7 linked regions of the Sus scrofa genome follow. The protein of the gene in region 1 interacts with the protein of each later gene in a pairwise test. Links are inferred from orthologs where the notes say so. Each region holds a gene or a part of one and is shown in the gene's direction. Other genes may lie near its edges.

Region 1 (4,209 bases):
TGGTTAGTCAAGTTTTATAGCATAGCATTTTTTGTTTTGTTTTGTTTTGTTTTTGGCTTTTTAGGGCCGCACCTGCCACATGTGGAGGTTCCCAGGCTAGGGGAACCTATGCCACAGCCTATGCCACAGCCATAGCAACGCCAGATGCGAGCCTTGTCTGAGACCTACACCACAGCTCTTGGCAATGCCGGATCCTTAACCCACTGAGCATGGCCAGGGATCGATTCGTTTCCACTGCCCCACAATGGGAACTAGGATAGCATTTAATATTTATAATATGAAATATATTTTTGATTTGTGATTTTCTTTGAAAATATATTGCTGGAAATTTGAAGTTAAAATTTCTTGGGAGTTCCCATTGTGGCTCATTCGTAACGAATCTGACTAGTATCCATGAGGATGTGGGTTTGATCCCTTGCCTTGCTCAGTGGGTTAAGGATCCAGCATTGCTATGAACTGTGGTGTAGATCTCAAATGCAGTTTGGATCCTGCGTTACTATGGCTGTGGCGAAGGCTGGCAGCTGCGATTCCAATTTGGGAACTTCCATATGCTGTGGGTATGGCCCTAAAAAAGCAAAAAAAAAAAAAAAAAAAAAGACTTGATTAAAAATAGTGTTTTAGTTTCTTTTTGGATTTACTGGATTTAACTTATAAATTACATAAGAATTTATATAAGAAGTTTAAGTATGTTTATAGAATTGTTAGAATTGTCTTCTTTTTCAGGCTCAAACTGCTTTTTCTGCAAACCCTGCCAACCCAGCAATTTTGTCTGAAGCTTCTGTTCCTGTCTCTCAAGATGGAAGTAGGTTTACACTTTGGTTCATTCTCCTTAAACAGAGATAACTTGTTAACTAAGCCTTCTTTTGCTGAAAGAGGGATTGCAAGATTTTTTTTTTTTTTTTAACATGCCTCATGAAATTGGTGGTTAAAACCTGGTAATAGGGGAGTTCCTGTCATGGTGCAGCAGAAACAATCCGACTAGGAACCATGAAGCTGCAAGTTCAATCCCTGGCCTTGCTCAGTGGGTTAAGGATCTGACATTGCTGTGAGCTGTGGTGTAGGTTGCCACCATGGCTTGGATCCTGTGTTGCTGTGGCTGTCGTGTAGGCCGGCAGCTGTAGCTCTGATTGGACCCCTACCCTGGGAACCTCCATGTGCTGTGGGTGTCGCCTTAAAAAGCCAAAAAAATAATTTCCTCTAGTAGTAGGAAATTTTTCTTCCAAAAAATAATTCTTTAATCAAGAAGTGATGAGTATGGGAGTTCCCGTTGTGGCGCAGTGGTTAACGAATCCAACTGGGAACCATGAGGTTGTGGGTTTGATCCCTGACCTTGCTCAGTGGGTTAAGGATCTGGCGTTGCCGTGAGCTGTGGTGTGGGTCACAGACGCGGCTCGGATCCCGAGTTGCTGTGGCTCTGGCATAGGCTGGTGGCTACAGCTCCGATTTGATCCCTAGCCTGGGAACCTCCATATGCCCTGGGAGTGGCCCAAGAAATGGCAAAAAGACCAAAAAAAAAAAAAAAAATTGAGTATGAAGGTGTGTTTTAGGGCTTAATCAAAATTAAGTTACTTAAGTCTCAGTGCTCATACATAAGTCCTTAACCTAGGAGTGATTCATTTGTGAAAAAACTGAACTTTCCTAACTGTCCTCTGTCTCTTCAGGACTTGTGGAGGGTGGGGGCAGGGTTGAAAATTCCAGCCGCCTCCTTTTGAGGGCACTTCCTGAATCCTGGGATCTACTCAGGCTCCATATCCTTCTCTTTGATCCCTTTTCCTTCTGCGCTCATAGGGATTCAGGACAGAACCCTTAAATAACATGACCTAAAGATACAAAAGGAGTGTTAAATAGGTTTTTGTGACCTGTTATAACATTGTTCCTTTTAGAAAATCCATTTTGGGGAGTTCCCTGGTCGCCTAGCCATTAAGCATTGTCGGTGCCATGGTGTGGTCTGAATTTCTGCATGCCATAGGCACAAAAAAACACAAACCAAAATATAGAAGACCCATTTTAAGTCACAAATAAAACATGTGAAAAAGAGCTTTTGGAAATATTTGTACTTAACTGTACCACTCAGTTCAGTACTTCAGTATTTAAATGTCCTGTTTCCCAAGATTTCATTGGTTAACTTTTTTTTTTTTTTGTCATCTTTTTAGGGCAGCAGTCTTGGCATATGGAAGTTCCCAAATTTGAGCTGCAGCTGCTGGCGTACACCATAGCCAGAGCAACACCAGATCCAGGCCATGACTCTTAGCTACACCACAGCTCACTGCAATGCCAGATCCTTAACCCACAGAGCAAGGCCAGGGATCGAACCCAAGTCCTCATGGATATTAGTCGGGTTTGTTAACCACCGAGCCACAACTGGAACTCCATCATTAGTTAACAATTAAAATGATATGACACTAAATAAATTTACAAGCTTTGATTTTTTTTTGGTGGGGTTCAGAAGAATAATTTTATAGCTGTTTAGTTATAAAGCAGCTGACTTGACAGTATACATTTTGGTCAGTTCTTTTTTTTTTTTTTTTTTTTTTTTTTTTGTCTTTTTAGGGCCACACCCGCAGCATATGGAGGTTCTCAGGCTAGGGGTCTAATTGGAGTTGTAGCTTCCGGCCTACACCACAGCAATGCCATATCCGAGCCATGTCTGTGACCTACACCACAGCTCACAGCAACACTGGATCCTTAACCCACTGAGAGAGGCCAGGGATTGAACCCGCGACCTCATGGTTCCTCATTACTTTCCGCTGTGCCAGGATGGGAACTCCTGGTCACTTCTTCTTAATTGGAGAATCAGTGGTATCTTTACAAAATTCCTAATCAACTAGGCTTAAAAAAAAGGAGAGGGAAGATAATTAGAAAAATTATTTTTACTCTTGAGTACTTAGAAATCTGAGGTTTCAGTTCAAATGTCTTCATATTTTACTTTCACCTGTAACTTTTTCTGTTTTATCCATTTCTAATTGTCATTACAGAGATAGAGTGGAATTTTCCAAGTAGCTAATTTAAATTTATTCTAGATTTTATAAATTAAATGTAATTTTTTAGTACAAGTAGAAGTCCATAACAACAGTTTTTGAATTTTCAACCAGTGTTTTTTTTTCCCTTTCTCTGTTCATTCATTTTTATTAGATCTCTATCCTAAACTATATCCGGAGCTCTCTCAGTACATGGGCCTGAGTTTAAATGAAGAAGAAATTCGTACAAATATGGCCGTGGTCCCTGGAGCACCAGTTCAGGGGGTATGTATGAATTTTGAATTACATAAAATCATACTTTACACATAGATAGAAGCTAATTCCTCATTGTGCCAAACCCCAAGATTTATAATGTTAGCGTTGGCCTCTTCTCAGGATGTCACTTCTCACATAGTCTACTTCCTTTTGTGCTGTTACTTTTCTAAGTTATTAGGAGTTAAAGATTCAGATGCCTTGACCAGTCCATTCTCCAGTTACGGAGACCTAGTGATTCTGTTTCTATCATGTTTCCCATTCTAGTCCTGCTATATATACGCCTATTCAGGGTTTCTGTACTTCTAACCCAGAGTATTACAATAGACTCTTACTTTTCCTTTAGTAACTTCTCTTTTCCAGCAGTACTGAGTTGCTCCTAGATTCAGCATTCTGAAGTCTAAAGCTTCATGAAATTAGACTCCAAATTCTTGGCTTAAATATAATGTCTGTCTTTTGTTCAGATTATTGCTGTAAGGCCACAGCACTTGTAGTGAAATACTTAACTTCCTGACAACAGGGTCCACGCCTATGCACCATGATCCTAGTGCTGGATACAGTACCTGCCTTTATTTATTCACCAAATAATTTATGGAAGACTTGCTTACATCAGTCAGGGCCCAGTTGGGACAATAGAAATCATAGTAAATATTTAAAACAAAAATGGAACACAGATGTCTCTGCAGAAAGTAGCTGTTTCTCTGACGACAGGTCAGAGGTTAGAGTTTCAGGGTGTGAGCCGGGCCTCAGAGGAGGGGACACTGCTGTGGGTACTGTCACCTCGGAGGGGTTTGGAGGTCTGATTTGGGGGTGTGGTAAAGTCTGGAGAATGGAATCCACTGCTGCCGGCAGGGCGAAGGGCTAGCTCCAGGCAGTGCGGACCAAAGCCAGAGCAGACAGGAAGGAGCCAGGCGCCTGCCCCTCCCCCAGCCACCCTGTCTCCCTCTGGTGCCTCTCAGGGTGCTGGCCAGGAACCACA
Region 2 (4,209 bases), on another chromosome or scaffold:
TCAAAATGGAATATGGTTTTTTTTTTTTTTTTTTTGTCTTTTTGCCATTTCTTGGGCCGCTGCTGTGGCACATGGAGATTCCCAGGCTAGGGGTCGAATCGGAGCTGCAGCTGCCGGCCTACACCAGAGCCACAGCAACTCGAGATCTGAGCTGCGTCTGCAACCTACACCACAGCTCACGGCAACACTGGATCCTTAACCCACTGAGCAAGGCCAGGGATCGAACCCGTGACCTCATGGTTCCTAGTCGGATTCGTTAACCACTGAGCCATGACGAGAACTCCATACTGTTGTTTTCTGGTGTTATGTTTAATTTTGTATACTATTACAGAATGTTATGGTAAAAATAACAATATAAAAGGAGCACCTTTCTTCCAGAATAGTGGCTGTCGAGTGAAAAGGAATGATGCTTTTTTTTTTTTGCTTTTTAGTGCTGTGCCTGTGGCATATGAAGTTCCCAGACTAGGGGTTGAATCAGAGCTGTAGCTACTGGCCTACACCGCAGCCATAGCTACATGGTATCCAAGCTACATCTGTGACCTACACCACAGCTCATGGCAATGCCAGGTCCTTAACCCACTGAACAAGGCCAGGGATCAAACCTGCCTCATGGGTACTAGTTGAGTTCATTACTGCTGAGCCACAGCAGGAACTCCAAAAGGAATGCTTTTAATGAATTTTACAATCTGTACATTACCCTTAGCATCTTGAATTATTTGCTGCAAACCTAATAATCCTTAACATAAACTTCATTCTTTTTTTTTTTTTTAACACTCTCTTCTATTCTTTGGTTATTGATAAACACTTAGTATCTAACATTAAGTTCTCTAATACCATTTCTAATCCTGCCTAATGGAAGTGCCTCATTAATGCTGCCTCTTACTCCTCTTTTCCCCCAGCCCCTGCTGGCTCTGCTGGTACTCCTCCCCTTCCTGCTACTTCTGCATCTGCCCCTGCCCCTCTTGTTCCTGCAACTGTCCCTTCCTCCATTGCCCCAGACGCTGCTGCTGGGGGTGCCCAGACCCTTGCTGATGGCTTCACTTCTCCAACTCCCCCTGTTGTTTCTTCCACTCCCCCTACAGGTGAGTATGGGCTTATTCCTTGGCAGGCAGTCCAGTCCTCTGGCTCTTCTCTTACTTGGAACTTGATTTTATGATTTTTTTGTTGTGGTTTGTATTTTTTTTTAAATTGAGACTAAGGTAGTAATTAGAAAATGGCATGTGACTGAAGAATAGAATTTCCTGAGGAAATCTGCGTAAAGGTTCTTATTTTTCTGATAGAGTAGCACAAATACACAGTTTTTATTACTCAAATTTCATTTACTAGAGATTCATGAATTTAGTATGGCGCTGTCTTCTGTACAGTTTTGAGAAGTTGTCGTTAGAAGTATTCTTTGTTACAGTTAAGTCATCAACAAAAAGAAAAGTCTGTGACAATTTTAAGGTATGTTTTATAGGAAATATTTGATATAACAGTTTAAAGTATAAGTCTATTTTAACAGAATTCATTGCGTATTGTAGCAGCCTAGTAAACAAATAGACAGCGGTCTTTTTAAGAATTTCAAGTTTACTTGTACCTTAAGGTCGACTGGTGTTTTGGTGTTTTAACATTGCAACCTAAAGACTGTTTTGATGGGGAAGGAGAAAAAGGTGCAATTGCTACAGTTTATTTGCAAAGTTAATAATGATGCTGGTTTGTAAACAGTTTCTGATCTGCTGTAAAAATGTATGTGCTTGGACACACATCACCTTAGCTGGTTAATAAAGTACTTCATAATATATGTGTATTCAGCCCTACTGTTATGCCAAGATGCTTAGATTTTTTTTTTTTTTTTTTTTTTTGTCTTTTTGCCTTTTCTAGGGCTGCTCCCGTGGCATATGGAGGTTCCCAGGCTAGGGGTCAAATCAGAGCCATAGCCACCGGCCTACGCCAGAGCCACAGCAAAGTGGGATCTGAGCCGCGTCTGCGACCTACTCCACAGCTCACGGCAACACCAGATCCTTAACCCACTGAGCAAGGCCAGGGACCGAACCCACAACCTCATGGGTCCTAGTCTGATTTGTTAACCACTGCACCACAACGGGAACTCCAAGATGCTTAGATGTTTTAAAAGACATTTTAAAAGTCCGTTTTAATCCATCCATTTTGGATGGTGTTTAATGGCATAGCTTCTGTAATAGCATTTTTTAAGAAAAGCTTTTTTCAGGGGTAAATGTAAACATGAGCTGTCCTTTGATATATATACAACTCTGTTAGGTCACTCCAGCTAGTTAACTATAGAATCATGTTATGCTCCTGCATCAGTAGAATAAGGAATTCATCTTAAATCAGTTGTAGGCCCAAAAAGGACAAATCACTCTTATCTAGCATCTACATTTTAGTAATTAAATTACAACTTAATAGCAGTTGCTGGTTTCTCATCTGCACTCAAAAAATTTATTGTATGAGTGAAGAATTATAGTTTTTTTTAACAAAAAGCAAGGTAAATGCCTTATTAAAAATTTATATCAGTCCCTTTTATGTCATGTCTTCGAATCACCAAGTACTTTTTTCCTTTTTTTTATTAAAGTATAATTTCTGTAGATTAAAATTCACCCTTTCTAGTGTGCAGCTTCTGTGAGTTTTGACAAATGTATGCAATGATACTACCTCAACCACAGTCCAGACATAGAACAGTCCTATCATCCTCAGATTTCCAACATGCCCCTTTGTAATCAGTCCTTCTGTTTTCCTCTTAGGCCCTGGCAACCTCTTGATCTTTGTTTCTAAAGTTTCTGCCTTTGTAGAAATATCATAAATCGAAGCATGTGTGATAAAGCCTTTGGGTCTGTCTTTTTAGCACAGTGCATTTGAGATCTATCCATTGTTACATGTTTGTTCCTTTTTATTACTGAATAGTGTTCTATTGAATGGGTTTACCACAGTTTTTTTATTAATACTTTACCCAATTGAGGGAAATTTGTGTTATTTTCAGTTGTGAGTGATTATGAATAAAAGTGCCAAATATATTCATACATAGACTTGTATGTGTACATAGGTTTTCATTTTGTTTGGGTAAATACCTAGGAAGTAGGATTGCTGGATAATATGGGAAGTGAATGCTTAACTTTATAAGAAATTGACAAATCGTTTTCCAAAGTTGTTGTACAGTTTTGCACACTTATCAGCAGTGTGTGACTTCCACTTATTCTGCACACTTGTTAGCATGTGGTATTGTTATTCTTTACACACATATTTTTAATTTAGACATTCTAATTGGTGTATAATAGTTCCTTGTGGTTTTGTGGACATTTCCCCAATGAATAATGATGTAGAACATCTTTTCATGTGTTTATTTGCCATCTGTTTATATTTGATGAAACGTCTGTTAAATGTTTTTGCTTCCCCCCACATACCTTTTGAATAGGGTTGTTTGTTTTCTTATTGAATTCTTTCACATTCTGAATTAGTCTTTAATTGATTATGCAAATAATAAAATTATTTGCAAATATTTTCTTCCATTTTGTGACTTTTCATTCTCTTAATGGTGTCTTTTAAAGAGCAAAAATTCTTTGATTATTCCCAATTCATTGCTTTTTTTCCCTTTAGATTGTACTTTTGGTGTCAAATTTACAAACTTTTTGTTTTATAGATGTCAAAAATATTTTCTTGTTTTCTTTTAGTAGTTTTTAGTTTTAGGTTTTTATCATTAGGTCTATGGTAATTAAACTGTAGTTTTGGTTTTTTTTGACTCAAAGCAAAATAAATGCCTTATTAATGGTATGAATAGAGTTTTTGTTTTTATTAAAGTATAGTTGATGTACAACATTGTGCCAATTTCTGCTGTACAGCAAAGTGACCCAGTCATTTGTATATATACATTCCCTTCCTTATATTATCGTCTATCATGGTCTATCCCAAGAAACTTGATATAGTGCCCTGTGCTATAAAGTAGGACCTCGTTGCTTATCCATTCTAAATGTGATAGTTTGCATCTACTAACCCCAAACTCCCAGTCCATCCCACTCCCTCCCCCCTACCCTTTGGCAACCACAAATGTGTTCTCTATGTCTGTGAGTCTGTTTTTGTCCTGTGGATAGGTTCATTTGTGCCGTATTTTAGATACCTCATATAAGTGATATCATATGGTATTTGTCTTTCTCTTTCTGACTCACTTCACTTAGTATGATAATCTCTAGCTGCATGCAATTGCCACAAATGGCATTATTA
Region 3 (4,772 bases), on another chromosome or scaffold:
GGTGAGCAGACACTTAATGCCTGCCGCGCGGATGGCGGCATCTGCCTCCAGTACACCCAAGCGGTCCGTGAAGTCGTCCGTATAAACACAGATGACCTGCCGCCCACCCTCCTTGGCCCGTGGGCTCACCTTGGCTACCTGAAGCCGGCCCTCGACCACGGCTCGAGCAATGCCAGCCCAGGCGTGATCCAGCTTGAAGCCAGGTGCCAGGTGTATCAGCCATTTGCCCGAGAGCACGTGGTGGGTGATGGCCAGCTGGCGCAGGGTACCTGGTGTGACGGGGCGCCCGCTGGTCTGCAGAGCCTCCCAGGCTGCCTGCAGGCCCTGCACGTCGCCTGAGTTGGGGACATAGCCCTGCCCATATGCTGCAATCCAGCCCACGGGCTCAGAGTTGGGAGAGCCAGGGTCCCCATAGCGGGTAACCTGGGATGGTGGGTACTTGGCCAACCAGGCATCCAGCTCCGTGGCAGGTGTGGTTCGGGCATCAAACACCAGCCAGGGGTCCATGTCAGCTGCCATGGCCTCTGCGGCCAGGTGCTCAGCAGTGAAGCCATCTTCACGACCACCTGGAGAATCTTCATCCTCCAGCTCCTCGCCTGGTTCCATCCTGCCGGGTGGGAACCAAGTTAGGGCAGGTCCAGGACAGATCCAGCTTCCTGGGCCTGAGCACGTAGGTGCCAGGCACTGAACTAATCCCTGCGGCCTTGGGCAAAACTTAATGTCTCTGTGCCTCAGTTGCCTCATCTGTACAATGAAAAATAGCTGCTCCCGTCTCAAACAGCTGTAGAGAATTAAATACTAGGAGGTGGAACAAGAACTATATAAATGCTGTTACTATTATCACTACTATCCTTGACCTACAGAGTAGGAAACTGAAGCTCACAGAGGAGGGGGCTTACCCAAGGTCACACCTGCAGTGCGTGAAAGGGCCGAAAAGTGAACTCGGGTGTGGGGGCCGCCGGCCCAGCTGCGGCTCCCGACGCTGCCAAGGCAGGCGGGTCTCCCGGGCGCTGGGATGTAATGGAACGAGGCACCCCGACAGGCCCCACAGGGCCAGGCCTCCAGGCGGGCGTTATCCCGCCTACTTAAAGACGAAGACATGCAGGCCAGAGAGGGCAGTGACCAATCCGAGGCCAACGGGCCGAGCCCGGACTCGAACCCAGGCTTGTTAGAGCCTGCGGGAGGGCCAGCCTCCCGCCCCGCCGCGCCCGCCGCGCCCGCCGCCATTAGTGCTCACGGCCCGAGCAGCGCCCCTGCCCCGCCCCGCCCTGCCCCCTCCCGCCGCCCGGGCGTCACCTCCGGCCTTCGCTGCGCTCGGCGCCGGCCCAGCCCCGGGCCCGGCTCCGCTCCTGCCGGGGCTCCGCGCCGCCGCCGCCGCGCCCCGCCCCCGCCACGGCTGCAGCCGCCGCCGCCATCTTATTGCCCCGCCGCCTCAACAACAACTTTATAGACAAGCGCAGCATAGGGCGGGACCGGGGGGAAGGGGCAGGGCCGTCGGGGCGGTGCTGACCCCGGGGGCGGGGCCATTGGGAACGCGAGGCGGGGCGGGCCTGCGGGGGGCGGAGCTAACGTTCGCTCTTCAGGTCTTGGGGGCGGGCGGTCGCGGCCGTCCAGTCCCGGACAGACGCGCACCGGGCGGGAGGCTGTGAGGGGAGGGCGCTCGGGCCCCGCCGGCCGAGTGCTGACCGGCGGCGCTAGGACCCTGTGGGGGGAGTGGCGGGGGCGGAGGAGGCGGCACCAGGACCCGGGGGAACCGCGGCGGGCGGGCGACGAGCAGGCCCGGGGGCCGGGAGGCTGCGGGCGGCGGCGCTGGGCCCGGCGCGGCGAGAGAGGCCCCGAGATGCCGAGCAAGAAGAAGAAGTACAACGCGCGGTTCCCGCCGGTGAGCACGTGGCCGGCCTCGGGAGGAACGAGCCGGGCTCTCGGGAGGCTCCGGCCCAGGCCCGGCCAGGGAGGCGGGCGCATCGCGCCGTTCGGGGGCCCGGACGCCCCGCCCCCTTCCGTGCCCTCTCCGCGTCGGTGCCCCCCGCCCCCTTCCTCCCGGGATGCTCCCTCTCTCTGCCCCCCGCCCCGCGCACCCTTTCGGGGGCCGCGGCGACGGGGTCCGAGCTCTCTGCCCCTTCCTCAGGCACGCATCAAGAAGATAATGCAGACGGATGAAGAGATTGGGAAGGTGGCGGCAGCTGTGCCTGTCATCATCTGTATCCTGTCGAGGGCTGGCTGGGTTGAGGGAGGCGGGGGAGGCCGGCAGCCCCGGGTCGCTTTTTGGGGGCCAGGACATTGTTAGAACCCGCGTTCGCCTTGACGACCCTCAGCTCGGGCGCTCGAGCTTTTCCTGGAGTCACTGCTGAAGAAGGCCTGCCAAGTGACCCAGTCTAGAAATGCCAAGACCATGACCACATCCCACCTGTGAGTGGCTCCGATCTGGGAGGGCTCGTGTGGGGCCTCCGCCCGGAGTCCACACGCTTAGGGGAGGCTGTGCCCTGATAGGGAGGGAGGTGGGAGGCGGCTGGGCGAGGACTCAAAGGCTGGTAGGTTTGAGTTGGCAGGGACTGGGTATTCTAAGAAAGGGGGCATGGCTGGGATTGAAACGATCCAGGCTCTGTTCCCCTGACATCCAGAGAGCACTTTGCTGAGAGTACAGACATCTGTGCCTCACCTGAGTGCCATTCCCTCCCCACCTCTTCCAGGAAGCAGTGCATTGAGCTGGAGCAGCAGTTTGACTTCTTAAAGGATCTGGTGGCCTCTGTGCCTGACATGCAGGGAGATGGGGAAGACAACCACATGGACGGGGACAAGGGTCCTCGCAGGTGGGGAGTCAGTGTCCATGTGGGGAAGGCCAAGGCCCCCGGGGTTGGAGGTGTCTTGGGGGATGGCAGAGGAGTGGGGAGACCTCTGGGCAGATGGACTCCACCTTCCCGAAGGGGCCGGAAGCCAGGCGGCGGCAGCCGGAAGAACGGTGGCATGGGAAGCAAAGGCAAGGACAAGAAGCTGTCGGGGACAGACTCGGAGCAGGAGGTGAGCTGAGGCCCCAGCCCTCTGTCCTGCCTTGCAGGGTGGAGAGGGCAGCCTTGCATCAGGCCAGGCCCAGCTGGCTGGAGGCCTGGTCCCATCCTCACCTGTGACCTCTTTGTGTTGGTTGCCTTGCACATGGCGGCTGCAGAGGTCCGGCTTTCCAGTAATGGGCCCACGCCTTTCTTGTCGCCTCTGATTCCTGTCTTGTTCCCAGGATGAGTCTGAGGATACAGATACTGATGGGGAAGAGGAGACATCACAGGCCCCATCCCAGGCCAGCCAGCCCCCTGCCCACTTTCAGAGGTAAGCAGGTCGGTGGCACCCAGAGGGGGCCAGCTGGTCCCCAGCTGCCTTGTCCTTTCTGACCGCTCAGGCGCCTTGGTTCTGTTGGTTGTGGCAGATTTGGGAGACGGGACGGGAGGAACTGAAGAGGACTTAACGGCTGGGTTCTGTGCTCTCAGAAAGTCCCCTCCCCCGGGCAGGGCTGTGTGCCCTGGGTCCTTCCCTTCTCTGGGCTCGGCTCCCTGCTGGTAGAGGGCAGTGGGCTCCAGGCCTGCCTGGCTGGAGGACCGGGTGGGGCTCAGCGGGCAGGACTGGGCACAGGTGAGTGGCCTGATCTTCCTTTCCCACTTTCTGCCCTGCAGCCCCCCGACACCCTTCACGCCCTTCACCTCGACTCTGCCTCTGCCCCCAGCGCCCCAGGTCCCCGCAGCACCTGACGCAGAGGACGAAGAAGATTATGACTCCTAGCGCCCTCTGCCCCCCAGGCCACACCCCCTTTTAGCTGCTCTGGGGGGAAGAGGGTAGAGCTGTTCTTAAATTTATTAAAAAAAAAAATAAAAGGGAATTCCAGTATCCGTCCCAGCTCTTGTCCAGGGCCTAATGGCCTCCTTCCCCACACTGAGCCAGGGCCAGGGCGGCTGGGCAGCAGCTGACTGAAGGGGGCCGGGCCCGGGGTGCTGATGGCGGGAAGGTGGGCAGAGTGCTGGAGGGCCTGAGCCGGCAGGTGCCAGTCATGCCGGGAGACAGCCTGTCTTGTTGTGCCCTGTGACCCTGGGCGGGTTCCTACTCTGAGTAGCCTGTTCTTGTCTCTCTGAGGGAGACCATTCTGCCCCCTCTGGGCTGCTGCAGAGAGACAGATGGGACAGGTGACAGAGACAGCTCTTGAAAACTAGAGCTGGAGCCAGTGCCCTTGAAGGGCATGTGGGAAGGGCAGCGGGAGCAGAGGTAGGTGAGGTCATGGGGGACCTGGAAGGCCGGCTTGTGAGCCCCCAGGGGCCCTGAGCAGACCCTGGAGCTATGCATACGAGGCCGATGAGGCGGATGTGTTGTGTTCAGGGAGCAGCGGCCTGGAGAGGCCAGGGCAGCGATGGGCAGCCTAGAGGTCCGGGTTGCCCACAGACGTGAGTGCTGATGGAAGGGGCTCCTCAAGGACTCGGGTGTCTTCGCGTGGGGGTGGGGGTGGGGGTGGGGGTGGGGGTTCTCCTCTACCCAGGAGACGGGGGAGAAGAGGGTTAGGAAGATCACAGGGTCCGCTGTGATGAATTTGGGGCGCTGTGAGCCCACTGAGGCGGGGTTTGGAGTGGCACTTGGGTGGCAGGGCTGGAGACAGGTGTGTGAGCAGAGCGTGGGAGGGCCCTGGGGGACCCCAGAGGGGCCCCAGGAGCCGCTGCGGTGCCCACCAGGGGCTCCAGGGAGGAGGAGCAGAGGCGGGGAGAGCGGGATGGGACTGGCCGCGAGGGGAAGCAGCGCTCAGG
Region 4 (3,470 bases), on another chromosome or scaffold:
CCAGGTCATATGGGAACCCTGCCCCAGAAAGCCTCAGGTTGCTTCCTGGCAGAGTCTATCTCTGCATTCCAGGACTGCAGTTCTGAAAAATCCCCCACAAGAGCCCACTGGCATCATCCTACTCTCTGGGGAGAGAGCTGGGGACAGACTGATTGAGTCACTTGCCCCTGGACACACAGCCCAGGAAGCTCATAAGGCAAAGAAAGCAGCCCTTCCTCCCTTGGAGAGCTGCCCATACAGTGATGGGGTTAGAATGTCTTCCCAGCAACACAGATCCCCACGGGAGGGCCCTAGAGTGGACGATTAGCAAAGGCAAGAGGATGAGTCTTTAGTTCTCCAAAGTCAGGCTTCCTCCTATCAAGCCACAGCAGCTACTTAGGAGGCCAGAGCCAGCAGCAGCCCCCTCCCTACCCCAGGGCCCCCCAGGCAATAAGTCACAATGCTCCGGCTACCCAGCCCCCCAGAATGGCTGACCCAAGTGGGAGGAGATGAGGAGGGTTTGGTGGGTGGGTGTGTGGGGAGGAGGAGATTCCCGAGAAGCCCAGCTCTCCACTGCTTGAGCTCACCCTTGAGTGTCCGCCAGGGCCCCCCATCGCCCTCCCCCATGGTCTCATCCCCCAGATTCCTACCCTTCCCCATTCCTTGCTGTAACTGCCAGCTCCCTCCATGACCCAGCTCTGCTCATCCAGGCCCAAGGGCCCTGCTTATTCTATCCCAGGCCTTCCCAGGGGCCTGGGTGCTGGGGAAGGATCGGGTAGCCCAGTGGGTCCATGTGTGTCTCCTGGGGGCCCTAGCCCAGCCCAGCTCCTGGACAGTGTCCTAGGGCTGGGGGCACTGGGGCTGACAATTTGGGCCGTCTTTTCCACAACTGGCCCAGCCTCACTGCTGCTGCTGCTGCTACTCGTCAGCTTCCTGGCCTTCGATCTGCTCCACCGGTAAGTGCACAGCAGCTTAGCAGGCGGGCAGGTGCACAAGTGGTCAACCTCCCAAAGCCCAGCTGCCACCCTTTCTCGCCACAGGCCTGCAGGTCCCACCTGGCCACAGCACACACATCCACGTCTCACAGGGGGCCAGAGTCAGGGCGCCGGCGAGGGTCCGGGACAAGTGGAGGCTCTACTCCTGCCCACGGTGGGCACAGGACAACTCGCCCTCCAGGAGGCTCTGCTGATGCTGCTCTTGGGCCTGGGGCTCCTCCTGGGAGCCCGTGGCATGCCCTTGACCCTGCTAGCCCTGGCTTTCTGTCTCCATCCTTGGGCTTGAGTGTCCTCCAGAAATACACTGGCCATGCTATTTCCTCAGGCCTTCTTTCCTCCACCCTGGGCTGGGCAGATGGAAGGATACTCTTTCTCCTCCAGCCTGAACCCCAGGGGAACCTCTGCTCCCACAATAGGGACAGTGGATACCTAGGTCTGAGTCCGAGGACATCGGCCAAAACCGAGATAAAGGACAAGGAGCCCAGAGGAGGATGTGGTAGCCATCTCAGAGCCCGTAGGTTGGGGTGGCTAGTCTGGCCTCCTGGGTGGTTCTAGAGAATGAGGGTCCAGAGAGAAAGACTTGCAAGAGAGCAGAGTGGGACTGGATATCAGCCAGCAGGGAAGGGATGAGGGGATCCGGAGAGGGCTTCCCACAAGGAAGCATGAGAAACTCCCCTGCCAGTCCAGAGAGTCCATGAGAGAGGCTCAGGTAAGGCTCATGCTCACACCCTCTCTTGGCTGGACCCCACCCCAGCCCGGGTCACAATGGGGCTCCTCTGGGGAGGGTGAGGGGAGTGAGAGTGGGAGCTCAACTCTGGCTGCCAGGCCGTCCTGGGCGCTGCAAGAAGCAACATGACTTAGGTGGCTCTGCCAGGAGGTAAGACCCAGGCCCCAGCTCCAAGCCCCACCCCACCCATGCTGGTACCCTCCTGACCCCTGCTACCACCCCCACCCACCCATCCTGAGGTCCCAGGCATCTCCAGGGCTGCTCCTGCAGCTGGCCTGGCCCTCTCCCCAGGTGCACCAGCCGTGATGCAGCAGCTGCGAGTGGAGACAGATGCCACCGGAGCCGGTGAGGGGCCACAGCGTGCTGTGCCCTGGACGGCCTGGCTCACACGGGACAGCTGGGTGCGCTGGTGCATGTGCCACATGCCCCCGAGCTGGGCCCAGTGGTGGATCACATCGGGCTGGCGGCAGCCGCTGCAGCGTGTGCTGTGGGGTCTGGAAGGGATCCTCTACCTGCTGCTGGCGCTGATGCTCTGCCATGCACTCTTCACCACCGGCTCCCACCTACTGAGCTCCCTGTGGCCCGTGGTGGCTGCAGCGTGGCGCCATCTGCTGCCGGCTGTCCTGCTGCTGGCGCTCAGTGCCCTCCCCGCCCTGCTCTTCATGGCCTCCTTCCTGCTGCTGTTCTCCACGCTGCTGAGCCTCGTGGGCCTCCTCACCTCCATGTCTCACCCAGGCCTTGCTCAGGACTTGGACCAATAGAAGGGCGACCCCATCCTGCTGCCTGTGTCTGTTGAGCCCTGGCCTAGGGCCCGAGGCCCAGGGGAGAGGGAGGGCAGTGGGACCAGGGCCTTCCTGCCTCGGCAGGCTCCAGACCTTCAGTCCCTAGCTGGGGCTGGTCAGGGCCTGCTGGCAGGGTAGGGGCATCTCTCTCAAGCTGATCCTCCAGGTACTTGGTATGGGGGGCCAGGGCATAGGGCAGAAGGCTGAGCTGGGAGCAGAGCTAGGCCAGGCCACCCAAAGCTCCCACGTGCATGTGGTGACACCCCTGGGACACCCTTAGCAGCTGGCAGCATCTTTTCCTTGCAGCTGCTCAACTGTCTCCGCTTCGAGCTCACAGAGAACATCTACCTGGGTGCCCCTGGACTTGTCATTCACCCCGCCAAGCCCGTCTTTCCCCTTCCCCAGGCTCTAGAAAGAGCCCAGTGACAGAAACTTGGCTGGGAGAGGGCCGGCCAGAAGCCACATGAGACCTCAGCCAAGCCTCCTCCCAGATTTTCTGCCCATCCATTCCCCACTCCCTAGACTTCCTACCTCCTGCCTCAGTCTACATCCTCAAGTCTGGGAAATGGGCCAACAAGGGTCATGAGGTTCCCAGAGAGCACCTACGGCTTAAGACTCCCTAGGTTTGCTAGGGAAAAACAAGTCCCATTTCACCCACCTACGCAATGTGTGGCCTTCGCCAATTAATTCTTTTGAGCCTTGGTATAAAGTGGGTCCTGTCATGGAGCTGTTGTGAGTCAAAGGCAATAATACCAATGTGTGAAGGACTTTGTATAAAGGCCAACAAGCCAGAAGATAAGAAACTCTAAAGAGCAGAAAGCTTCTCCAGGGCTTCAGAGAAATGTTCTGGCATAGATACAGTTTGGACCATACAATGGTAAACAGAGGATGGATGGGTGTGAACAAGAGGTAAAAGGTTGTGTGCCATGGGAGTTCCCATCATGGCTCAGTGGTTAACGAATCCGACTAGGAACCATGAGGTTGCGG
Region 5 (4,179 bases), on another chromosome or scaffold:
GTTCAAGCGTTTTTCCCTGACGTGAGACGTTGGAGCTCTCACAGGATCAGGCCTCTGTACGTGCCCGGGGGCAGTGAGCTGAGCTCCACAGGAGGCAGGGCGGTGCTCGTTTGGGAGCAGAAAGGGCAGGGGGGCGGTCTCTGGCTAGGGGGGCTCTCTTCCTGTGGGCGCCACAGCCCCCTTCCCTGCTGACCGGCCTGGGCGTGACCCCTGCTGGCCCCCAGGCAACGCGGCTATTGTTCTGCGGAGCCGCCTGAAGGTCAGGGTCGTGAAGGAACTCTGCGGGAAGAAGCTGGCCGTCCCCAACGGGGTCAGCGAGCACGGAATGCTGGCCACAGCCCTGGACGCGGAGCTCGGGAAGCAGGTCATGCAGTACCAGGTCTGTCCGGGTCCCTCCCCCCCCGCCCCCCGGGCTGTGCCCCCCCCCGCCCTCGGGACCTTGCCAGCGCCCAGGGCCGCCCGGCACTGCAGCCCCTGAGTGCACCGGCCTCGCCCCCAGGTGCTGAACGAGGTGGTGATCGACAGAGGCCCCTCCTCGTACCTGTCCAACGTGGATGTCTACCTGGACGGGCACCTCATCACCACGGTGCAGGGCGATGGTAGGTGGGCGCCCGGCCTGCCTGGGGCTCCACGCGGGCGGGGGCCGTGCGCACCAGTGCCACCCTGCGCCTCTTCTCCAGGCGTCATCGTCTCCACCCCGACGGGCAGCACGGCGTATGCGGCCGCCGCCGGGGCCTCCATGATTCACCCCAACGTGCCAGCCATCATGGTCACACCCATCTGCCCCCACTCGCTGTCCTTCCGGCCTATTGTGGTCCCTGCAGGGGTCGAGCTGAAGGTCAGAGCCTCCCACCCTCTTTGGTTGGGGCCCTGGTAGGGCCTGGTCCCTGGGGTCTGGTTGGCGGGGGCAGCGCCGAGAGCTGGGCCAGCCCCACAGGCAGGATCTCCGCCTGAGTGGTGGGGGTGGAGTGAGGGCGGCAGGTGAGGAAGGACCCTGCCCTCTTGTCCCCCAGGGCCTCTGTCCTTCCATGTCCACCCCTTCTCTGTGCTCTGCTCCCCACTGCAGGCCACCCCGGACCAGCCTGTCCTGGTCTGGGCCCTGACATGCGGGCTGGGTCTGCAGGGCAGAGAGGAGGGGCCGGAGCCAGGCACCTGGCCCTGATGGACACCTGCCTTCCGTTCCCGGGGTCGTGTCCACAGGACACAAGTTACCTCACCCGGGCACGTAGTGGGCACTGTGTGGGTGCCTGTGAATCCCCTGGGCGGTGCCACCCCCGGCGGGGTTCACGCTCCTGGCCTCACTCTCATAGGGTACCCCTGTCCTGCTTTTGATTCTTTAGATCATGCTGTCACCAGAAGCAAGGAATACCGCGTGGGTGTCCTTCGATGGACGAAAGAGACAGGAGATCCGCCACGGAGACAGGTGTGTGGCCGCGGGCCGGAACAGGACAGGTGGAGCTGGTGGGCTGAGAGCCCTGCGGGCCTGTCCCCGGTTCTGACATGATCACGTCGCAGACCTGTGCCTGGGTGACAGCGCCCTGCCAGCTGCACCTGCCCCTGGGGGTCCAGGAGCACCCCTCTGCCTCCAGGGCACCAGAGGCCCTGGGGCCAGGCCTCAGGCAGGGGGCGTGGGCAGAGCTGAGCCGGCCCAGCCCGTGGGGAGGGTGGCGTCTCCCCGGGAAGGTCTCACGGGAGGGTGACGCTGCCTCTCTCCCGCTGCAGCATCAGCATCACCACCTCCTGCTACCCGCTCCCCTCCGTCTGCGTCCGAGACCCCGTGAGCGACTGGTTTGAGAGCCTGGCACAGTGTCTGCACTGGAACCTGCGGAAGAGGCAGGCCCACTTCCCGGAGGACGAGGGGGGCGACGAGGCGGGGGACGGGGACGAGGAGGGCGGCTCGGGGAGCTAGGCCTGTTGGCCCAAACGCACACTGTGAGTCTCACAGGCCCAGCGCAGGTGGCAGGCGCCGCGTCAGTCTGTGGCCAGAGGGAGGGCCTGAAATTGGCTTTTTTGTCGACCAGATCAGCTCTTTTTAACGTTTCAAATCTGAGTTTTTTCTGCATTTCTAAACAAGCGAGCGTGATGGCTGGGAGCTTGGAGGCCAACTCGGGCACAGCCACCCAGCATCTCCGGAGCCCAGGCCCGGCAGGGTCCCCAGCTTAATGAGCTCTTTAATTCCCCATCTGGAAACCTCCGTGAATCAGTTGATTGACGCTGGGAGGGGGGAGCAGCGTGGACAGAGCTATCCTTTGCTATTGAAAAATAAACATCTCACCGCAAAAATCTTCCTTCAGCCACCACCACCTTCCCCTGATGCCACTTGGGACACTTCTGCCAAGAGCAGGCGGCATTTGGTTGGCAGGCAGACGGGTCCCCTCCCGCTCCGGCTCAGGGTCGGCCTGAGTTGCCTGGTTGCTCCTGCCTTGGTTCCAAAGCCCTGGTCCCCTCACCCCCCGCCCCCTGCCGTCGGAGCACCAGCCCGGCCACGGCGGGGTCGGGGGGTCGATTCTACACATTCCTCGTGGAGCAGGTGTTTCAATCCCGAGTCTCCTTTGTAGAGATTGTCGCACTTCCTCAAAGTGCTGCCTGCAGACCGCGGCGCACACTGTGAGCTTTCGGGGCGGGGCCGGGTCGCGTCCCACTCAGAGCCTCATTCCAGTGTTCGCCCCATGTCCTGTGCTCCGGGACCACTCTGCAGCCCCCGCGGCTGACGGACCCGTGCACCGGGGGGCCCCACGGTTGTGACGGGGTGGGGGTGTCGCATGTCAACACGGCTCTGCTCCCTGTGGGCTCGGGAGGGACCCTCACATTCAGCCCTCGTGCGCCATCACCAGCTGCCGGATGCCAGAGCTGTGTGGCACCTGGTGGGAGCCTGGCCCCGATCCGCTGGGCATCTTGAACGTGGCGTCTGTGTCTGAGAACTGCTTTCTCTCAATCGCGTTTCTTGCGGAAGCAGAACGGACGGGTGCCTGTCCTTTCTTGGACCTGCTTCTGGAATGACGGGCCGGGGGGCTGTGCTTTGCCCACCTGGGGGTTCGCAGGCTGAGAAAAAGGCACCTGGGGCACACGTGTGGCCACTGTGGCCGGAGGTCTCCGGAGCTGGCTCTGCAGCCTGGGCGCCGTGGCCGCTGTCTGCCTCCATTGCACCTGCCTGGGCGCCCGGCCACGCTGGGAGGGGATCGCTTCGCGCCACCTGCCTGCAAGCCCCCGGCACAGCCAGTGGCCTGAGGGAGCCCCACTGGCAGCGTTAGGCTCGGCACTCAGGTCACTCATTCAGACAGCCCGTGTTGACCAAGTCCTAAAGCATGACGCACAGTGACCTGCGGAACTTTGGGTTTTTTGAAGTAAATTCTTAATGTTTCATATTGTTAATAACTGGGAAATTTGTTAAATGTTGAAAGCCTTATTACTATTTTCGGATCCTTTCAATAAACAGACTTGTTTTAAAAGTTGGGTTGAATGATAACTTTATTTGGTTCTTCGTAACCAACCCCAGGATGCTGAGGCGAATGGGCCAGGGCCTCAGGTCCCAGCTGGCGGAGCCTGCCCTGGGCACGTGTCCTGGGGCATGGGTCCTGCTCCACCAGGGACATGGCCCAGCCTGGAGCTCCTGCCTCCCCCTCCTGGTTCCCGGGACTCCTTGCTCAGGCCTGGGTGGACGTGACGAAGGCTCTGCTGGGAGCCAGACCAGATGCTGTGGACACAGCCCTTTGGGCAGGAGCCCGGGAGAAATGGCGACCAGCCCGTGCGCACTGCTGAGAGGCCACCCGTAGCTCAGACATAAGTGGCCGTCTGGGGCTGGCGGGGGCTGAGTGCAGGCCCTGCCCCTGCGGGAGACAGCCATGCCTGATAAGCCCTTCCCATCCAGGCATCTGGGGGGGACTTCCTGCCAGGCGTCTCAGTGGCCATGAGTGCTGTCCCCTCCACTGTGGGCCTTGGCGGCCGGCAGGTCTGCTAGGAAGCAGGGTGTCTGCGGTCATTGCCCGGGCAGGTGGCAGAAGGCACTTGGGCCTGAGGCTCTCCGCACATAAGCCGGCTGTGTGCCATCCCAGGCTGGCTGGGCCTCCTTGCGTCCGGGAACAGCGCCTACTTAAGGGCTGGATCCGGCCGGCCAGCTAATCTCCGGGCCAGAGGGAAAAGGCATTGCCCAACCTCGCCCCTCCAGGCTTTGGGAGTGCG
Region 6 (4,683 bases), on another chromosome or scaffold:
TCTGTCAGATTCCAATGTGGTGAACATGATCAGAGTAAAATCTATAGGGTATTTGCTGCAAAGCTTCTTGGATGATGTCTGGATTTCTTTTATCTAGGAATGCATCAATTCTTGGCCTCTGTTTGGCCTTTTCTCTTTACAAGCCCAGGGTCGACATGAAACTTAATAGTAAACAGCAATTAACGACCCCGTCAGCATCCGGGTAGGCTGAGGGTGATGGAGAACAGGACTCCTGTCCTGGGATGACGCTCAGATTTGCACGTGTCTCTCTAGGGAAGGACTTGAAGGTTCACACAGGGAACCACACAGCCAGTTTACAAAAGGGAGGAGGTGTTGTTGGGGAAGAAGAAAATGTCCTGTCCACCATCAGCCATCTGTCCACTGCCCCTCCCACCTGCCAGCCCCCACCCCCACTTCAGCTGTGCAGTAGAATGGGGGGGGGGTGGATGAAGGAAGCTCTAGCACGCCTAACATTCGCCTCCAGGAAACGAGAAACGTTTCTGGGGGTGGCGGGGTGGGAGGGGAGGTGGAGGGGGAGTTCATCGTACTTCACTGTGGTCTCGCCCTTTGAGGCCCAGGTCGGTGTACACAGGCTCCTGGGTCCTAGGGAGCCGGCAGATGGCCTGCAGCGCACGGCCCGGCCCCCACGCTGGCCACGTCGGCTAGCGTCATCTCTCTCCCCCGCCTCCTACCCCTCAAAATCCGGCAGCAGAGTTGCTCCGGATCCCGCAGGGCTCCCAGAACAGAGCTGAGTGGGGAGGAGAAAGGGGCGGAGAGCGAGGAGAGAGGGAGGGCGAAGAGCCGGGCCACCCCCGGCCTTTTCCGGCAAGCTTAGCTCCCAAGGTTCACCCGTTCCCGAGCATCGAATTACAGCAGCTCCCCGTTGCCACGCTAACAGCTCGTGGGGGTGGGGGAGGAACGGGGGCTTCAAGACCCTACAGGGAGAGGGAAGTTTCCTTTCTTGCGCTTGTCCCCTCCACGCCCACTCGGGTTCCCCCAGCCAGCCCTCTGCGCACTTCCCTCTCCTTCCGGAGACCTGGTGGTGGCCCAGCCTCGTCCCCCGCCACCGTTCTCGGCTCTCCTCACTGCCCCCAAGGCATCACAGAAGGGACGGCAGTGAAAGCGCCCGGGGAGCGACCCTTCCAGTTCCTCGCGTTCCGGGCTCAGCCAGTGTGCAAGTGGCGGCCCAGCGAGCTCCCTCCCACTGACTCCCGACCCAAGAGAGCGCGGAGCCCTCTTGGCGTCTCACCTCTTGCCAGTTCCTCTTTCTGTGCACGGTGGGGAGGGGGGCGGTGACCGAGGATGGCTCTCAGCCCCCACCTCCCGGAGGGGGGCGATCGGAGTCGGCCACTCGCAGAAGGCAGCCCCTGCTCCCCTTCGCCCCAACGCTGGGAATCTGCCCCTGCAGCCGCCGCAGCTGCTGCTGCCGCCCGGGCTGCCTGGGGGGGCGACTGCGCGTCACCTAGACTGAGGAGCGCCGGGGATTTAAATGCCACTGAAAGGGTGATCCATCACCGCAGGAGCCAGCAAACTTTCGCAGGAGGCTCCGCCATTGGCTGAGAGAGTCACGTGCCCCTCCCCTAGCGCCCTCCGCCCTCCCGCCCCCCCTCTTGCGCACTGTACATTCATATCATTTTTCTTCTCCGGCCCCATGGAGGAAGTGAGAAAGTTGGCACGGTCACTCAGGGCTTCGCAGGACCCGGTCACTCAGTGACAGATGGACAATGCAAGAATGAGCTCCTTCCTGGAATACCCCATCCTCAGCGGTGGCGACTCGGGGACCTGCTCAGCGCGAGCCTACCCCTCCGACCATGGAATTACAACTTTCCAGTCGTGCGCGGTCAGTGCCAATAGCTGTGGCGGCGACGACCGCTTCCTAGTGGGCAGGGGGGTGCAGATCAGCCCGCCCCACCACCACCACCACCACCACCACCATCACCACCCCCAGCCGGCCACCTACCAGACTCCTGGGAACCTGGGGGTGTCCTACTCCCACTCGAGTTGTGGTCCAAGCTACGGCGCGCAGAACTTTGGCGCGCCTTACAGCTCCTACGCGTTAAATCAGGAAGCAGAAGTAAGTGGTGGGTACCCCACGTGCGCTCCCGCTGTTTACTCTGGAAATCTCTCATCTCCCATGGTCCAGCATCACCACCACCACCAGGGTTATGCCGGGGGCGCGGTGGGCTCGCCTCAATATATTCACCACTCATATGGACAAGAGCATCAGAGCCTGGCCCTGGCCACGTATAATAACTCCTTGTCCCCTCTCCACGCCAGCCACCAAGAAGCCTGCCGCTCCCCTGCATCAGAGACGTCTTCTCCAGCGCAGACATTTGACTGGATGAAAGTCAAAAGGAACCCTCCCAAAACAGGTCAGTCTTGCCCTTCCATGAATGATCCTTGATTATTCAGGAAGGAGCCGGTATGCTTAGTTTCCAAGGAAAATTAATCAAGGTTTTGTTTTGTTTTTTTCTTTAAAATTCTTGCTTCCCACCGGTGTTGTAGGGTGTTGGGAGGCTGCCCAGGTGTGGTTGGCACAAAGGAACATCTGGGATTGTTGTGTTTCCAAGGGGGCTGAGTTTTAGAGGTTTTGGAAGTAGGACGTGGGAAAGTGGGTAGGTGTGTATGTGTGTGTTAATATCTCCAGGCTCCATTAATCACTGGTCTGACCATGCTAATGGGTGACTTCAGATGAACGCTTTACACCTCATCACTCACCCTCCCAAGCCCGGCTTGTGTTGAGAAATTCTTGATTCCCCCTTTGCCTGAATCTTGCTCTGAAGCCTACAGGGACTCTCATATCGAATATAAATTTTTTCCCCTTTTTTCCCCATCGCTTCCCCTTGCCCTCAGGGAAAGTTGGCGAGTACGGCTACGTGGGTCAGCCCAACGCGGTGCGGACCAACTTCACCACCAAGCAGCTCACGGAGCTGGAGAAGGAGTTTCACTTCAATAAGTACCTGACGCGGGCCCGCAGGGTGGAGATCGCCGCGTCCTTGCAGCTCAATGAGACCCAGGTGAAGATCTGGTTCCAGAACCGCCGAATGAAGCAGAAGAAACGAGAGAAGGAGGGCCTCTTGCCCATCTCTCCAGCCACCCCACCGGGCAGTGAGGAGAAGGCCGAGGAATCCTCCGAGAAGTCCAGCTCCTCGCCCTGCGTTCCTTCCCCGGGGTCTGCTACCTCAGACACTCTACCTACCTCCCACTGAGGCCGCCCCAGCCCCAGACTCGACTCTTCCGGCTGGGACTTCTTTCCCAAAGCACATTCTTAGCTTATCTTCCTGTCCATTTACAATCTCTCTCTTCCTCTCTGATCCTATCTGGGGAACTCCTGGCCAGGATACTGTGTTTCCAGTGAATTCTGGATTAGAGACTGGTGTGGGGGCAGGGGAGTGCTAGCTCCGCAATGCAAATTGAGTGCCAACATCAATTTTCTCAAGGCCCCTAACGCCCCTAGTTTTAGGAGATTTCTTTGACAGACCCTACAGTTCCTTTCAGATGCCCTTTGGAAAATAGTCTCCTTTGCCAGCAGAAACATGTCAGAGGGAGGCCTCTCATCTTATATCTAACCGTGTATTTACAGTTCTCCCCTACTCTGCCCTTAAAGTAGGATAGAGAGAGAAGAGAGTCCAGGAGCTCATGAGGAAGAGATGCACTATGAGCGTGTTTACACAATTAATTCACCCCTTAATTTAACTCAGTTTCATGTGTGTGAGTCTGCTGGTTGTAAATACTTTGTCCTGAAAGATTTATCTTTATACAGATTTTCTAGAAATGTTTAGATTAAGGGATGAAAATAGGGTGGGCAAACTCTCTAAGCTGGTACAACTTTGTATGTGATTATAGGTTAAAGACTAAAAGCTCCCAGTAAAATCAATCAGAGGCCTCAGAGGGTCGCCTCCGTTTGTTCTTTCAGCAAGTTAAGAAAGCCTGCAGCATAAAGGGTCAGAAACCTGGCTCCCTGGGCTGAGTCTCTCCCCATCCCCACGCCTTTCTCCTTTCTCTGGCCACACTCTTTCAAATTTGCGCTGGAGTATTCAGGACCCAAACGTATTATTTCACACCAGCTTCTTCCCTCCACAGTTATTGTAGCTGGATATGATGTATTTTTAGCTCAGTTGTTAATGTGATGGATGGCACAATGAATGTATATTTTGTGTGATTCGTGAATAGTCTTTTGCATGTCGCACAATGTCTTGATGTTCCCGAAGTACCACACTGAGTTTTATCAGTTATCCTTTGTGATAGTTCCCATTTCCTGTACAATCATGAACAGCTCCGAGATCCCAGAAGGATGTGATCCAGAGCAGAGTTTACGGGTCTTAAGATGTCTGTAATAAATATATTCAAGTTTCAGATATGCTTAAGCATCTCTGTGTCTGGCTTGGCTACAATTTGTTGGTCCCTACAAAGTTGGCTCCTTTCCTGTGGGGAAGGGGAGAAGGGTGTTGTGTATTTTCAAAGAGATGGGCCTCTTCTTGGAAAAAAAAAAAAAAGGGAAATACTTTTCATATGGAGCTGATGCTTCCCCAATGAGTGTAATTGCACCTAACCAATGTGCATGCAATAGGTTGATTCTCTTTAAAAACAGCAGCAGTTCCTTTACGATCATCAGAGTCCATCATGGAAAAAATGAATGGTGAAGAAATAGATGAAGCAGATCTATTTTTGAAACAAACATAG
Region 7 (4,013 bases), on another chromosome or scaffold:
AGAAGAACAGCAAGCCCATCTTTCGCGAGTACAGGCAGGATAAACGTCATTCCCCCACCGCCACCCCGACAGGCTACAGAAGGCACAGCAGAGCGCTGTAGGGCCCAGAAAATTTGGGATCCTGTCGGTCTTAACGGAAGCAACGTGTGAAACCCTGAGCTAGTGTGAGTGACAAACACGCCTGTGACCAGGTGGAAAGGCATAAACTCCCAGCACAATGTTCCCGGAGCCCCTCCTGTGGCCATGTCCCTGACTTCCAGGACAGGTGACAGAGACCGCCCCCAGCCGGCTCGCCAGCTCTCTCCAGAGGAGCAAGCAGGAGCCAGGAGGAACAGGCAACGCAGGTGCAAGTACTCACAGGACTTGGCTGAGGTGGTGGAACTGCTCCAGCGCCTGGCGGCACCAGCACTGTTGCTTGTCACTGCCACACCCGGCGCACAGCGGGCTCTGCAGAAGGCGGTAGTACCGGCGACGGGCGTACCTGCTGTCCAACTCCCCCTCCAGTTCAGGATCTGTGCCCCCTTCCCCTTTTCTCTTACTCTGCATGTATACCCTCAAAAAGCGCCCATAGAGACGCTGGATCATCTCCTGGAAAGGTCTGGGGGTGGAAAAGAACAGGACGCCCCGCACGGTGGTGTGGACCTTTTCGCGAAGGCCCTGGGCACCAGTGCCCATGAGCAAGCCCAGGCGAGTCCACTTCTCCAGGAGCTCTAGACTCCGCAGGTAGGGATCCAGGCGGCTCTCCAGCAGACCGAAAGCATCGAGGAGCAGCAGAAGGCACTGGGGCTCGTCCGCGCAGTTCTCGCGCTGGGAGATGGTATTCCAGAACTCGAGGGCGATGCTGGCCTGCAGGTCATTCTGGAGCACCTCTACGAACCATTCCTCCAGGACCGAGTGCAGTCCGTGGCTCCTGAGAACCTCCACCGCCGCCCGGAGCTCCTCCTCCTTTGGAGGGACCGCGCCGCTGGTCCGGGAGGATGCCTGGATTACAGAAAACTGTGAGTGGAAGGAAACACCACGCAGAGATGGAGAAGACGGTTACTGGCAGGCAAAGGCGGGAAAGGCAGAGAGGAGGGGAGCCCACGGAAACGCCGCTGCGCTTCGTCGCAGGGATGCACGGCCGACTCTCGGAAAGGGCTGTCGAACCAGGAGGGAGTCTGGAGAAAAGCGGCACAGGGACCCGTAGAAACCCGAGGAGAGGCCGCGCAGGGTCCTGGGCACCCCACGCGGGCCCGCCGCCCTCTTCTCGGGCCTCACCAGTCCCAGTGCGGCCGGCGGCACCAGCCCGGTGCTCACGGTATTCCACGCTACCAGCAGCTCCTGGGCAGGCCCGGGGTCGTTCTGCTGCTCCGCCGCCGCCATCTGCGCCCACCAGCTCCCAGAGCCGCCCCGTGTGGCGCGGGGAGATGACGCAGGGCTGGGCGCGCGCGCGCGCGGCGGTGACGTAATCCGGGCCCGCCGGCAGGGATGCGGTAGCGGCGGTTGGAGCGGCCGGGACCCCGGACGGCCACCATGACCCAGCAGGGCGCGGCGCTGCAGAACTACAACAACGAGCTGGTCAAATGTGCGCGGCCGCGCGGCGGGGCTCCCTGGGCTGGCGGGGAGGGCGTGGCGTCGCCGGCCCGCAGGGCCCGGGCGGTGGTCGGCTCGCAGCGCGCGGCCGAGTGTGTTGTACAGTCCGTAAGCGGCTGTTCCTGTCCGGGCGGCGCCAGCGCCGTCGGACCTGCCCGACGCACAGCCCCGGTGTGGGGCCCGCCCCGGGCGCTTGGTATCTGTGGAGCGAGCGAAGGACAAGCGGCTTGAGCACGCACGGCCTCCCAGCCCCGCGCCGAGGGTTCTGGTGCGGTGCCTACTTTAACCCTGAGTCCCCCGGGACGTAAGACACTGGCCTGGCTCGGGCGGAAGGTGGTCCAGCCGGCAGCCGGTCCTCCGCTGCCTTTCTCTCTCCTACCGAGCAGCGGGCTTCAGAGTTGGGGGGTGGGGGGCGGTGCCTTCTTGCCTGCCCTGGGCCCACAGCCCCTGCCCCTCTCGGCCCACCCCAGGCATCGAGGAGCTGTGTCAGAAGCGGGAAGAGTTGTGTCGACAGATCCAGCAGGAGGAGGATGAGAAGCAGCGGCTGCAGAATGAAGTGAGGCAGCTGACCGAGAAGCTGGCCCGAGTCAACGAGAATCTGGCCCGAAAGATCGCCTCTCGTAACGAGTTTGATCGGACCATCGCGGAGACAGAGGCCGCCTACCTCAAGGTGGGACTTGGGGCCTGCATGTTGGGACAAGTCCCAGAAGGGCCCACCGACAGGCAGGCCGAGGGCCCACTGTGGAGTGACAGAGCAGCTGCTAGCGTGGCTTGGACGGTACTTCTTCCTGCGTAACTCCCTAAGACCAGCAGGAGCCAGAGCGACTCTGCAGGGAGCGTAGGGTAGACTCAGGAGGAAAAGGGCCCTGGCAGGGAAGGGCTGTGGGAGCTTCCCAGAGGGGGGATGGTGTAACCACTGGCGTTTCTGCTCCCAGATCCTGGAGAGCTCGCAGACTCTGCTTAGCGTTCTGAAGAGGGAAGCAGGGAACCTGACCAAGGCCACAGCTTCAGAACAGAAGAGCAGTGGAGGCAAGGATAGCTGACAAGGCCGCCGGCAGAGGGGCCCGCCTCCACCGCGCCCACCTAGGGCTTCGCCTCCAGCAAGTCTTCACGGCCTCTTTGTTCTTCACGGCAGCGGCTGCTTTCTCTCCTTGTTCTGGGTGCCGAGAGGCAGCTGCCAGCCACCACTGGCTCTGGGTGACAAGGAAGGCCTCGCTGCAGCCCACCAGCTGGGTGTCCTGGCCCTGTGCTCACACAGGTTCTGGGTCGGTCAGTTCTGCTCGGCCTCTGAGGGCCCCCCCACACCCCTGGGCTGCAGGGAAGACCCCGCTTCTAGTCTCGGCATCATGTCACCCTCACCTTATCACTTGGCCAGCAGGTGCCCAGGCAAGTGGGAAGGGGCCAGGGCCCTCCTTCACCTCAGAGCTGACCCTGGGGCCGTAACGTCAATAAAGGTTGTCTTTGTTAAGATACACGCCACCCTGCCGCCTGTGTCCTGGGTGGGGCTGCTGGCCACCCTAAGCCGGAACACAAACCCCTGCTCAGCTGTAGTGGGGCTCCTCTGTGAGCGGGCGAGGAGAGGGCCTGGCATGACTTTCCCTGTGACTGGCCTTGCTGGCCTTGGGGACCGCTAGGGGTGCCGCTAAGCATGTCCCGAGACGCTTGTCGCCCACCTTCCCCCTCAGAACTGCTGACCCCTTCCCCAAGCCCAGCACCCAGCCCAGCTTCAGGGAAGGCACTCTGGCCGTGGGCCGTGGTCTCGGCCTGGTGCAGGGAGACACTCTTCCTGGGGCCGGGTCCCCCGGCCAGGGATGCAGCCCAGCTCTGACTGCTGACTGCCCCACCCTCCCTGGTCACACTGCCTGGGGCCCAGCTCTCATCCCGAGTCCCCTCCGGGTCCCTCTCTCTTCACCTGTCTGTCCCTTTGGGGGTGGGGTGGAGGTTGGAGGTTGGGAAGCACGTGTTGTTGACCGAGTCTGGAGAAAGCTGGGCCCGCCGCTCCCAGGAAAGTGCCTTCCTCCAGCCCAGGCCTGGCCGGGGCGTCTCCCAGATGTGTCTCTCCAGGAGGAAAAGCCCTGCATTGGCTGCTGCACCGGGGTGGCCTGGCTCCCCAGGGCGGCCATCCTGCTCCCTGGGGGCAGTTCCATCCGCCACCTCTCTAAACCCATCGATTTCCCTGCTGGCCCCGCCCCAGGGGAGTGGTCTGCCTGTGGCGCAGGGACCCTTCCAGTCCAAGCAGAAGCCAAGGCCCTCTGAGCTCTGCCTACCCCAGGCTCCTGTCCCCTCAGGGAAACTGCCAGAGCCCCAGCCCCTGGGCACACAGTTCCAGAGCCCTGCCTCCGCCACAGCCCCCACTATGCCACCTCTGGGGACAAGGGGAGCCCCTCTCCCGGCCGGGGTGGGGAGAGCCTGGGTCACGAGGACTGACGTTTGAAGGTACT

The links.
Region 2: the proteins of SDCBP (region 1) and ABI2 interact in binary tests that used the Homo sapiens proteins (3 or more experiments, as listed by UniProt). The link is inferred for Sus scrofa from reciprocal best matches to the Homo sapiens genes SDCBP and ABI2.
Region 3: the proteins of SDCBP (region 1) and DRAP1 interact in binary tests that used the Homo sapiens proteins (3 or more experiments, as listed by UniProt). The two-hybrid records come from large-scale screens. The link is inferred for Sus scrofa from reciprocal best matches to the Homo sapiens genes SDCBP and DRAP1.
Region 4: the proteins of SDCBP (region 1) and TMEM239 interact in binary tests that used the Homo sapiens proteins (3 or more experiments, as listed by UniProt). The two-hybrid records come from large-scale screens. The link is inferred for Sus scrofa from reciprocal best matches to the Homo sapiens genes SDCBP and TMEM239.
Region 5: the proteins of SDCBP (region 1) and NADK interact in binary tests that used the Homo sapiens proteins (3 or more experiments, as listed by UniProt). The two-hybrid records come from large-scale screens. The link is inferred for Sus scrofa from reciprocal best matches to the Homo sapiens genes SDCBP and NADK.
Region 6: the proteins of SDCBP (region 1) and HOXA1 interact in binary tests that used the Homo sapiens proteins (3 or more experiments, as listed by UniProt). The two-hybrid records come from large-scale screens. The link is inferred for Sus scrofa from reciprocal best matches to the Homo sapiens genes SDCBP and HOXA1.
Region 7: the proteins of SDCBP (region 1) and SSNA1 interact in binary tests that used the Homo sapiens proteins (3 or more experiments, as listed by UniProt). The two-hybrid records come from large-scale screens. The link is inferred for Sus scrofa from reciprocal best matches to the Homo sapiens genes SDCBP and SSNA1.

Annotation. Positions count from the first base shown.
Region 1 is NC_010446.5:74,304,243-74,308,451, reverse strand, and holds part of SDCBP (syntenin-1 CG9291-PB), read left to right. Parts: intron 1-723; coding exon 724-802; intron 803-3,132; coding exon 3,133-3,242; intron 3,243-4,209. UniProt on the Homo sapiens protein: Multifunctional adapter protein involved in diverse array of functions including trafficking of transmembrane proteins, neuro and immunomodulation, exosome biogenesis, and tumorigenesis.
Region 2 is NC_010457.5:106,859,967-106,864,175, forward strand, and holds part of ABI2 (abl interactor 2), read left to right. Parts: intron 1-899; coding exon 900-1,082; intron 1,083-4,209. UniProt on the Homo sapiens protein: Regulator of actin cytoskeleton dynamics underlying cell motility and adhesion. Functions as a component of the WAVE complex, which activates actin nucleating machinery Arp2/3 to drive lamellipodia formation.
Region 3 is NC_010444.4:6,408,723-6,413,494, reverse strand, and holds DRAP1 (dr1-associated corepressor), read left to right. Parts: upstream 1-1,559; 5' UTR 1,560-1,840; coding exon 1,841-1,882; intron 1,883-2,128; coding exon 2,129-2,201; intron 2,202-2,315; coding exon 2,316-2,409; intron 2,410-2,690; coding exon 2,691-3,018; intron 3,019-3,229; coding exon 3,230-3,318; intron 3,319-3,659; coding exon 3,660-3,765; 3' UTR 3,766-3,872; downstream 3,873-4,772. Other genes in the region: C2H11orf68 (UPF0696 protein C11orf68 homolog), read right to left, coding at 1-607, 1,297-1,463. UniProt on the Homo sapiens protein: The association of the DR1/DRAP1 heterodimer with TBP results in a functional repression of both activated and basal transcription of class II genes.
Region 4 is NC_010459.5:32,837,152-32,840,621, reverse strand, and holds TMEM239 (transmembrane protein 239), read left to right. Parts: upstream 1-1,532; coding exon 1,533-1,569; intron 1,570-1,688; coding exon 1,689-1,842; intron 1,843-1,933; coding exon 1,934-2,462; downstream 2,463-3,470. Other genes in the region: C17H20orf141 (uncharacterized protein C20orf141 homolog), read left to right, coding at 667-935, 1,020-1,260.
Region 5 is NC_010448.4:63,845,920-63,850,098, reverse strand, and holds the end of NADK (NAD kinase), read left to right. Parts: intron 1-224; coding exon 225-379; intron 380-499; coding exon 500-838; intron 839-1,340; coding exon 1,341-1,423; intron 1,424-1,722; coding exon 1,723-1,909; 3' UTR 1,910-3,449; downstream 3,450-4,179.
Region 6 is NC_010460.4:45,475,943-45,480,625, forward strand, and holds HOXA1 (homeobox protein Hox-A1), read left to right. Parts: upstream 1-1,618; 5' UTR 1,619-1,717; coding exon 1,718-2,372; intron 2,373-2,853; coding exon 2,854-3,209; 3' UTR 3,210-4,364; downstream 4,365-4,683. UniProt on the Homo sapiens protein: Sequence-specific transcription factor. Regulates multiple developmental processes including brainstem, inner and outer ear, abducens nerve and cardiovascular development and morphogenesis as well as cognition and behavior.
Region 7 is NW_018084833.1:709,916-713,928, reverse strand, and holds SSNA1 (Sjoegren syndrome nuclear autoantigen 1), read left to right. Parts: upstream 1-1,426; 5' UTR 1,427-1,512; coding exon 1,513-1,564; intron 1,565-2,042; coding exon 2,043-2,242; intron 2,243-2,507; coding exon 2,508-2,615; 3' UTR 2,616-3,044; downstream 3,045-4,013. Other genes in the region: ANAPC2 (anaphase-promoting complex subunit 2), read right to left, coding at 359-981, 1,258-1,362. UniProt on the Homo sapiens protein: Microtubule-binding protein which stabilizes dynamic microtubules by slowing growth and shrinkage at both plus and minus ends and serves as a sensor of microtubule damage, protecting microtubules from the microtubule-severing enzyme SPAST.